3 linked regions of the Rattus norvegicus genome follow. The protein of the gene in region 2 interacts with the protein of the main gene of each other region in a pairwise test. Links are inferred from orthologs where the notes say so. Each region holds a gene or a part of one and is shown on either strand. Other genes may lie near its edges. The genes, in order: Zbtb1, Ndn and Ssx2ip.

Region 1 (3,753 bases), on a different chromosome or scaffold from region 2:
TTTATTTACTTTTGTTGTTTATATCTTTTGGATTAATGTCTGGTCTCGTTCAGATTTATTACGTGTTTCTTCCTCTAGGATGAAAACAATTTTGGTGTGTATATGTTTGTTTTTGTACAGAGGCCTCTGTGTGTGTGTGTGTGTGTGTGTGTGTGTGTGTGTGTGTGTGTGTGTGTGTGTAGGCCAGAGGTCAACCTTGGGTGTTATTCCTTGGGTGCTGTCTACCTTGTTTCTTGAGATGGTTTCTCGTTGGCTTGGTACTTCGAAAATAGGCTGGCCGGTTGCAGTGGGTCTGCCCCATGCCCTGCTTTTTTTAGATCTGTGGTTTCTGGTAGTCCTCATGCTTGCTCCTTTGTGTGCACACAAGGTCTCATGAGTAGCCTTGGCTGGCCTGGAACTTGCTCTGTAGACCAGGCTAGTCTGGAATCCTCTGCCTCCTGAATTCGGCTGTAAGGGACTAAAGACTGCCCCAGCACAGCAGCCATGTCAGAGCCGGGCCCTCACGCTTTCTTGGTTCTTTTTTTTTTTTTTTTTTTTTTTCCCCGGAGCTGGGGACCGAACCCAGGGCCTTGCGCTTCCTAGGTAAGCGCTCTACCACTGAGCTAAATCCCCAGCCCCACCCTCACGCTTTCTAAGACAAGTACTCCACCAACCAAGAGATCTTGGGTTTGGATTTATTAAGGATTATGGAAATATTAAGGATTTTGCTTCTGATTCCTTTTGTTCAATATAAGAAAACTGAAAAAATAACTAGGTATTTTCATCTTCAAACTTAAAAAAAATTACCAGCTTTTGCTTCATTAGTGTAGAAAACCATGCTTTGATTGTAATAGCAAAAGTACACCAGTCAAACATGATGCTAGAGTGCCCTTTTTAGCGCCTTCCTGCCGCCTGACTGTCATGTCCTTGTTTTACACAGGCTCACCGGCAGGAGATGGCCAAGCCCAGCCACAGCAGCTACGTCCTGCAGCAGCTAAACAACCAGAGAGAGTGGGGCTTTCTGTGCGACTGCTGCATCGCCATTGACGACACTTACTTCCAAGCACACAAGGCCGTGCTAGCTGCCTGTAGCTCCTACTTCAGGATGTTCTTCATGAACCATCAGCATAGCACTGCCCAGCTGAACCTCAGCAACATGAAGATCAGCGCCGAGTGCTTCGATCTCATTTTGCAGTTCATGTATTTAGGGAAGATTCTGACCGCTCCTTCCAGTTTTGAGCAGTTCAAAGTGGCTATGAACTACCTCCAGCTCTACAATGTTCCTGACTGCTTAGAAGATATACAGGACTCAGACTGTTCCAGCTCGAAGTGCTCGTCTTCCGCCTCCAGCAAACACAACAGCAAGATGATCTTTGGGGTGAGGATGTATGAAGACACAGTGGCTAGAAACGGCAGTGAAGCCAACCGGTGGAGTGCGGAGCCCAGTTCAACGGTGAATACGCCACATAACAGAGAGCCTGAGGAGGAGTCTTTACCGTTGGCCAACTTTCCTGAGCCACTGTTTGACGTGTGTAAAAAAAGTTCCGTGTCCAAGTTATCTACTCCAAAAGAACGTGTGTCGCGACGCTTTGGACGGAGTTTTACCTGTGACAGTTGTGGGTTTGGCTTTAGCTGTGAAAAGCTGCTGGACGAACACGTGCTGACCTGCACCAACAGGCACTCCTACCAGAGCACGGCGAGAGCCTACCACCGAGTGGTGGATGCTAGAGATGGGAAAGACAGTGCCATCAAAGCTGAACTCGGTGACAAGGGCTCTCCTACAGCGTTTTCTGCACACACAGACAAATACAGAGAAGACGCCAGCCAGGCGCCCGATGACTCAGCCTCGCCCACTGGGAGCAGAAAAAGCACTGTGGAGTCCGGCACAGCTGGTGAAGAGAAGAGCAGAGCTGCGGAGACAAAAAGAGTTGTCATCAAGATGGAGCCAGAGGACGTCCCTGCAGACGACATGAAGGACTTCACCATCGTCAAGGTCACCGAGAAAGACTGCAACGAGTCCACCGACAACGATGAGCTAGAGGACGAGCCCGAGGAGCCGTTCTACAGATACTACGTCGAGGAAGATGTTGGCATTAAAAAAAGTGGTAGGAAAACCCTAAAACCTCGGATGTCCGTCGGCGTGGATGAAAGGGGTGGTTTGGAGAACATGAGACCCCCAAACAACAGCAGCCCCAGACAGGAGGACGCCGAGAATGCGTCTTGTGAGTTGTGTGGGCTCACGATAACGGAGGAGGACCTGTCCTCTCATTACTTAGCCAAGCACATTGAAAATATCTGCGCATGTGGTAAATGTGGGCAGATACTTGTCAAGGGCAGACAGCTTCAGGAACACGCTCAGAGGTGTGGCGAACCTCAGGACCTGACGATGAACGGGCTGGGGAACACTGACGAGAAGATGGACATGGAAGAGAACCCAGATGAGCAGTCTGAGATAAGAGACATGTTTGTTGAGATGCTGGATGATTTCAGAGACAATCATTACCAAATAAACAGTATCCAGAAAAAACAGTTATTTAAACATTCTGCCTGTCCTTTTCGATGTCCTAATTGTGGCCAGCGTTTTGAAACTGAAAATCTAGTGGTGGAGCATATGTCTAGCTGCCTAGACCAAGACATGTTTAAGGGCGCCGTCATGGAGGAGAATGAACGAGATCACAGACGGAAACATTTCTGTAACCTGTGTGGAAAAGGCTTCTATCAGCGCTGTCATTTGAGAGAGCACTATACTGTTCATACTAAAGAAAAGCAGTTTGTTTGTCAGACATGTGGGAAGCAGTTTTTAAGAGAGCGCCAGTTGCGTCTGCACAATGATATGCACAAAGGCATGGCCAGGTATGTCTGTTCCATTTGTGATCAAGGAAACTTCCGAAAACATGACCATGTACGGCATATGATCTCGCATTTGTCTGGTGGTGAGACTATATGCCAGGTCTGCTTTCAGATATTCCCAAATAATGAACAACTGGAGCAACACATGGATGTCCATCTGTATACGTGTGGAATATGTGGAGCAAAGTTTAATTTGAGGAAGGATATGAGATCACATTATAATGCCAAGCATTTGAAAAGAACCTGATGGGTTTCTCCTGTACACATGTTTAGTTGCTAGGCAGAACACCAAAGCAAAGAGGAGATGAGCTATTTAGAACTGATTTTATAACAAGTGTTGAGGGAATCTTCAAGGCCCTTTTACTTTGAACGTTTTTGTTTAGGACCTTAAGTATATTTTAGGCATTAATGTTTATCATTTTTGTTGTTTTTGAGAGCATTCTTTGTTCCTAGTTTCTTAACTACCATTAAAATTACTTTTCGATGTAGACTGTTAAGTGGCTGTTATCCCTTCAATGACTATTAAAACTAGTTTTTTGGGTTTTTTCTTTTTAATTTTTTTTTGGGTTTTTTTTGTTTTGTTTTGTTTTTTTAACCAATAAGGTAAAAACTTTGCTATTTCTATGTACTTTCATTTTAAGGTCATCCTATGAAATTTTAAACCCAAGATTATTTACCATTCCTGCTTAAATTTTTATAGAATTTTAAAATAATTATTTAAAACTATTCTATTTGTTTTTAACTTTTTGTTTTTTGCTTTTTGGGTTTTTGGGGGTTTTTTTGTTTGTTTGTTTGTTTGTTTGTTTGGCGGGGGGCTTTTTGTCAGTTGTATAGTGGGGTGGCTACTATTCTCCCTTATAAATGAAATCTATATTCTTAAATTGACAAACTTATTAGGCAAGTGAGGTGCACTGAATCTAACCT
Region 2 (3,145 bases):
GTTTCCTAATTCGTACATTCAGAGGCTAATTTGCGCAAAACTCTCAGAATTAATTAGAAAAATCAAATCCTTAATGTATGCAGCAGGGAGACAAGGGTGCTTGTGTGAGTGGTAGCCATGGGGAGCTAAGTGTCAAGACTCCAGTATAAGGTCTATGATTTTTAGGGTATTTCATTACCAGCATCCTTTCATTTTTCTTGCTTTGTGCTGATACAGTCATTCCTTACTTCTTATGGCTGGTGGGAGGATAAAATAAAGAAGAAAATGCACAACGAGGGTTTAGTAGCAATATTTCATTCTGTTAAAGTGCCCACCAAAGACTATTTAAAACAAAAAAACAAAACAAAACAAAACAGAAAAGGGACAGTCCCTACATAATTCCTGTTATTATTCCCACGTTATGTGAACATGCCTTTTTTTGTTATCACGCCTTTAATGTGACCAATTTCTTGAAGCACCACAATTTTCAAAAAACTTCTGAGTGGTTATGAGTGGTGTTTTCCCACTCTGTTAGAAGTATACTTGCTCATGTTGTACACGGGGAGAATCTTTCTCATCCCTACCCACTCCCATTCCCCCTTTCACCAAAATAAATGCCTCCCCCCCAAACAAAGAAATTATTTCACGGTATATTTAATGCTCATTTTAAAGTTTATTTATGGTGGGGTTGGATACATGTTTTGCAAAGTGTGCTAAGTGCTTAAACTGAAAACAGTCCAGTTCAAATCAGTCCATTCCACATGGATGTTTCCTGTGCCAGTTGGAGTCATATGGAGAGGGACCCTGACCTTTCTCTTGGTCAGGTCTGTGTTGTTGTTAAGTCCTGCTAACTCTCCAGGGCCTTCTTTGTCGATACGGACCATCAGTCCCATTCAAAGAACAAGATACAGAACACCTCAATGTATTTCACAAGTTTAGCACAGCACATCTCTTGTACAAAAATCCAAGAAAGCACAGAAGTGAAAGTACCAACTTGCTCACTTATAAAACACACATGCATCAATTTTAAACACTACACGAGTACACAACTGAATACATTGCATTACAAGATAAAAAAAGCACTGGATGGAAAACTTAAAAACTATACATGAAATACTGCACTATGAATCTGGGATACTCTAATGTCCAACCCCACCCTTACACAGCCCTAGTATGGGTCAGAAACTATCAATGTGCTCCTGGACATTTTAGTCCTCAGAGACACTGCTGCGGGGGGCCTGGGCGACAAGATTAGCCTCCCGCAGAGCTCTGGCCTGCTCCAGAGCCTCTCTGTAGCGGGAAGGCCAAGCCTGGGGATCCTTCTTAAAGACTCTGGCCAGGAACTCCATGATCTGCATCTTGGTGATTTCACGGTTAGCTCTGGGGCCCCAGAAGAACTCGTACTCGGGAGGCTCGATGTGGGGCACACGCTGGTACTTCAGGTAATTCTGCTGGACGAACTCCTCGGTGATAATCTTTCTCACATCTCCGAAGGTGGAGTGCTTCTTCCAGGGCCTCAGCCCCAGGATGCGCAGCACATTCCAGACCGCACCCTCTCTGGCCCCGCGGCCCTTCACATAGATGAGACTCAGGATCATGAGCAGGAGACCTGTCATGGGCATACGGTTGTTCAGCGCGACTCTGTCCAGCTCTTCTGGGCTGAGTGCTTTGACCAGGGCGAACTCCATGGTGTGGAGATTGGTCAGCCTCAGGTGCAGCCCGAAAACTCTGGCGAGGATGACGCTGGTGCGCCTGAGGATGCTTCTGCACCACTTCTTGTAGCTGCCCATGACCTCTTTCACCATGTCTGGAAACCAGAGGACCATCCTCTTCTGGTCCTTGACCAACACGTACCACATGAGCTCGTGCGCCTTCTGCACCAGCTGGGCAGGGGCCGGCGGTGCTGGGATCGGCCGGGCTGGGCTCTGGGGCTGGTGGGCGCGGCCCTCTTCTGCGGCCTGCTGCAGGATCTTAGGGTCAACCTCTTCAAACCGTTCTGCAGGTGGTGGCGAGGCCTGTGGGGCTGCCATAGGGCCTTCCGGAGCGCACGATGGCCCTGAGAGGTTCGCGGCCAGAGGAGCGGGAGGAGGGACCCCCACCGGAACAGCATCGCTGACCTGCATCTCAGTGTCGGGGTCCTCAGCGGCAAAGTTAGGGTCGCTCAGGTCCTTACTTTGTTCCGACATTCTGCGTCTTTTGATCAGAGCAGGACCGCTGCGACTCGGAGCTCTCGGAGCCTGCACTGCCTCAGTGGATACTAGCAGAGGAAGTGCGCTTTACTGAGCACTGCGCCTTCCGCAGCAGCGGGCCGGGCGGGGCAGACGCTATATTGCGCATGCGTAGTGGGAAGCCAGAAGGGTGGTAGGGCTGGATAGGAGCGAAGTAGCAAAGCCCAACCACTGGGGTCTAAGGGAGGGTACCACTAGTATTATGAAAAGGATCTCCTGGTCTCCTGTATGGGACAGAGATGGGTGATAGTGGGGAAAGAAACAAGTTGAAGGAGAAAGATATAGCTGAGATGGTGAAGTTAAGTTCCGACACACTGAGTTAAGTGTGAAGGTCCTGGAGGAAGAAGACTAATTCTTGAATTTGAGTTTTCCACAAAAGAATAGGAGAGACAAAAATAACCTTTTCTTGGAAAGTCATACCTGATGATGATGATGATGATGATGATGATGTGTTGTCTAATATCAGAATGTTGAGAAATTATTAATAGAGATAAATCGTTACAAATCTGAGCAGTATCAAACAAGGAAGAATGCAAAGTATAGTTACAGACACTGGAAATCAATCCATGTGAGAATTTAATGTTTTAGAAGTAGATTCATATAACATAATTGATGTGCGTCTAAAATTTTAATTAAAATGGGACTTGGTTCAGTGGGCAAGAGCTGTTGCAGTTCAAGCATGAACCTGAGTTTAAACCCCAGGTCCCACATGAACAAAACAGATATATAAAATTATTTATATGTATTCATTCATCGTTGGATTCTTAGTTTGTTGGCTTACAATTATTTTAATAACTATGGATTTGGGCTCTGCATTTCTATTAGGTCACTTTGATTTCATTTAGAAATTCCCTTAAGAATCTAGTGGGAAATGATCAACATGTTTATTAATACACATTTTATGATAGTGTATTTTTCATGCACTCCCAGTGCCCTTT
Region 3 (3,653 bases), on a different chromosome or scaffold from region 2:
AAACAGAAAGGCTGCACAGTGCTAACTGTCTTGAATACTGGAATAGCTAAAGCTAGATTAGACTTCGTTGACTGGGCATTTAATTTTAACTTCTAGCTTTCCCTTCAACAATTGAAAGAAGGGGATTGGAAGGTGGCTTGGGGTTAAGAGCACTGGCTGCTCCCCCGGAGGACCTGGGTTCAGTTCCCAGCACTCACACGGCAGCTCACAGCCGTCCGTGAGTCAGGTCTAGGGGAGCAGAAGCCTGTTCTGTATCAGGCACAGACATGTAGGCAAACCACCCATATACATGAAATATTTTTTAAAAAATTGAATTATTTATTTTAATTTTGTTGCAGCTAGACATTTCCTATGTCACCTCGTAGGCAGTGTTGTGGGACGCCTTCTGCGCAAGCTTAGGGGATTTTCACAGTTCCCAATCTCCTCAGGACACACTTAGTTTCTTCCTCTGAGAGTCCCGTGTCTTCCACGTAGAGGTGTTTTCTCCTGCTTGTTTCCTCTGTGTCTGTCTTCCCTGTTGTTTGACGGTGTCTGGCCCTCAGGTGTGCCTGTGGCTGACACTGGGTTCTAAGTTCTGGACATTTTTTATATTATTCTTTGGATCACCAAACTGTCTTTAGGATCAGTTTTATTATTTATTTCAGTCACTGACTTTTTTTTTCTTTTTTCTTTTTTTCAGAGCTGGGGACCAAACCCAGGGCCTTGCGTTTGCTAGGCAAGCGCTCTACCACTGAGCTAAATCCCGAACCCCTGATTTTTTTTTTTTTATTTCAGAATTTGTTTTTTTTTTATTTTTCTAGTACACTTAAATTTCCTTTTCTTTATATACTATTGTTGTCTTGCATGCGTTTTGAATCTTATAATCTGTGTGACGGCATTTTCAGAACTCTAGGAACACCGTTATTTGCAGTCAGTTTACCTTTGCTTTTCCTCTTCTGCTGCTGTTTGCCCCAGCGTGGGTCAAATCTGGTTTCGTATTCACAGTGTGAGTAACAGACTCAGTGCCAGGCATCCTAAGTCGCCTGCACGACTCCCCCACACCCTTACTTAAGCCCCGAGTGTTCCTCAGGCAGCCAGTGCCTCGTGTGCGCCTGGCAGCCGTGTGACCCTGCCCAAGAGTATGTCTGCTTGGAGACATGGGTGGCCATGACAGAGGAATGAGAGAAAATGTGGTTTAGGGATCATCACGTGATCATGAGGAGATTCTGTGTAATCATGTGATCAGAAGATGATCCTGTGTAATCTGTCTTTCCTCTTGTGGCTCCCACTGGCAAATGGCGACAAGACAAAAGAAATCTCCGGAGAGGTCAGACGTCTGTTTCCCAGTGGGTGATTTGTAAAGTGGGGGTTTTTCTGATATCAGTTTTGTGTTGCGTGTTCTTTGTGTCATAGTTCTGCTAATACTGTGTTCATGGGAAACCCAGCAGTCGATGGACTATCAGTGAAGTCTGTGGTTTTCATTATTTAAAGATTATTAGCCTATGTGTGCGGGTGTTAGACCTGAAGGTGAACATGTGTCCCTGGTGCCCTCAGAGGCCAGAGGATATCCTGTCACCTGAGTGGGTGCTCGAGACTCATGAGCCGTCTCGTGGGAGCTGGGAGTGGAGCCCAGGCCCTGTGTGGAGCATCAGGTGCTCTTAACCAGTGCAGCCGCCTTGCTGTCCCCAACTTTAGTTTCTTAAACGTGATTTTCTTGAGTCCTTTAGTTTCTAGGTGACTATTTCATGTAAGAAGGTACAGGTTGCAGAGGGGAAGCAGCTGGAGAAGTTCCTGAGAGGGAGAGAGAGTTAACAGTGGAGTAACTGCCTTCGTCTTCGTCCCACTAGAGAAAGGCGTTTGAGGAAGAGCGAGCCAGCTGGGTGAAGCAGCAGTTTTTAAACATGACGACCTTTGATCACCAGAACTCAGAAAATGTGAAACTTTTCAGTGCCTTTTCAGGAAGTAAGTGTTGACGTGTGTCTGGTTGGAATGTGTCCCAGTCCGGCGCCGAGCGAGCTGGCAGCCCCAGTGCGTACAGGATGGCCTATCTGGAGCTGAAGACTTAGTCTAAGTGTTTTAATCTCTCTCTGCCTACCCGTGTTCAAGTTCTAGTGATCAGACCCAGGAACTCAACCTGTAACAGGCTACTATTCTACCAAGGAGCCAGACCCCTAACCCCCAAAAACCAGCTTAATGGTTTATTTACTTAAGTCAGAGTGAGGTTCATGGGAGAAGCATGCATATAAAAAGTGCTCTTGTGGGTTTATGATGATGCTATCCATGTTCATGAAAATTTGTGATCTTAGAAACTGACCATTTTTAAGCTAGGCCCCTCTCTCTGGAGATTGTGTGACAGAGATGGCAGGTAATTTATTCTTTCTCAAAGTCCACTCTGAATTGCAAGTGCTTGATCCTGGTTCGTGATCTCCGTGGTTGATAGTTTACCATGTGTCCTGTTCTTTCTCTTACTCATAACCAGGTTCTGATCCAGACAATCTTATAGTCCACCCACGGCCACGGCAAAAGAAGCCACACAGTGTCGCTAATGGGGTACCAGCTTGCACATCCAAACTGGCTAAGTCTCTTCCGACCTCACCTTCAGACTTCTGCCCGTCTCGCTCATGTGTGTCTGAGCACAGGTATTTGTTTTTAAGTGATCGTTTCACACACTTCTAAAATTGGTTAACATTGTATTGCTTAGAAGAAGTTGGTGTGTGAGTGTGTGTGTGTGTGTGTGTGTGTGTGTGTGTGTGTGTGTGTGTGTGTGTCTTATGACAGTGTACACTTTGGAAAGAAATTAGATTGACTTATTTATTCTGTCTGCAGAGAGATTGCCAGTGTGTGAGGCTTAGAGCCACGTTTAGAACTCTAGTAGATCCAGTCCACTCCTGTCTGTCTCTGCTCACATTTGAAGTCTAGACTTCTGGGCCAGTGCGGTGCACAGCTTTCACCCTGTACTCAGGGAACAGGCTGTCTTGCTGTACGTGGCAAGTTCTAAGTTAGACAGCGCTACATACCAAGACACTACCTTAAAAGAGAGACTAAGGCGATTATGTCATGAAACATTTAAAACTCTAAGTACTTTGATCATGCTGAAGACTGCCGTTTTGGTAGTTTTTCAGAGTACCTAACTTAAGTTTCTTTGGTATGCTCATAGCGTGGGTATTGAAGGGCAAAGAGCCGAGGAAAAGCACTTCCTCAGGTTGGTAAGAAAATTCCTGCCTCAGGTAGAAGTATTAAAGCAGCTTATTCCCTGTCCTCAGGGCACGTGCATATATAATTTTCTAAGATGATTTAAGTCTGTTTTTAGGTCTAATCTAAGAACTGTGGAGCAAATGTGAGAGATTTAAACAGAGGAGGTAAAGGGAAACACGAACTCTAATAAAATAGCATCGCACATTTCTCTGTGGGAATGGACGTGGAGTGCCGTGCAGTGGGAGAGCAGGTTGGAAGGCACGGTTGGAGCTGAGAGATGATATTTCTTTGGAATTGGGTCATAAAAGGAGCCCAGAGCTAGTGAAGTGATGGGAGGTCAGATATGGGAGTGATCATTGCTGTGCAGGACCCTGCCGCTCAGCCTCACCCCGTGTGTACATGGAAGTCTGAGGAAAGCACTTCCAAGCGCATCCTCCTGATTTCCTGAGTGGGTCTAACATCATTAGTGCAGACGTGGG

Evidence for each region.
Region 1: the proteins of Ndn (region 2) and Zbtb1 interact in a two-hybrid assay, tested with the Homo sapiens proteins (2 studies listed by BioGRID and IntAct). The link is inferred for Rattus norvegicus from reciprocal best matches to the Homo sapiens genes NDN and ZBTB1.
Region 3: the proteins of Ndn (region 2) and Ssx2ip interact in a two-hybrid assay, tested with the Homo sapiens proteins (2 studies listed by BioGRID). The link is inferred for Rattus norvegicus from reciprocal best matches to the Homo sapiens genes NDN and SSX2IP.

Annotation. Positions count from the first base shown.
Region 1 is NC_086024.1:100,844,163-100,847,915, forward strand, and holds the start of Zbtb1 (zinc finger and BTB domain-containing protein 1), read left to right. Parts: upstream 1-934; coding exon 935-3,076; 3' UTR 3,077-3,753.
Region 2 is NC_086019.1:125,260,146-125,263,290, reverse strand, and holds Ndn (necdin), read right to left. Parts: upstream 2,233-3,145; 5' UTR 2,166-2,232; coding exon 1,188-2,165; 3' UTR 633-1,187; downstream 1-632. UniProt on the Homo sapiens protein: Growth suppressor that facilitates the entry of the cell into cell cycle arrest.
Region 3 is NC_086020.1:237,985,812-237,989,464, forward strand, and holds part of Ssx2ip (afadin- and alpha-actinin-binding protein), read left to right. Parts: intron 1-1,826; coding exon 1,827-1,941; intron 1,942-2,458; coding exon 2,459-2,618; intron 2,619-3,653. UniProt on the Homo sapiens protein: Belongs to an adhesion system, which plays a role in the organization of homotypic, interneuronal and heterotypic cell-cell adherens junctions (AJs).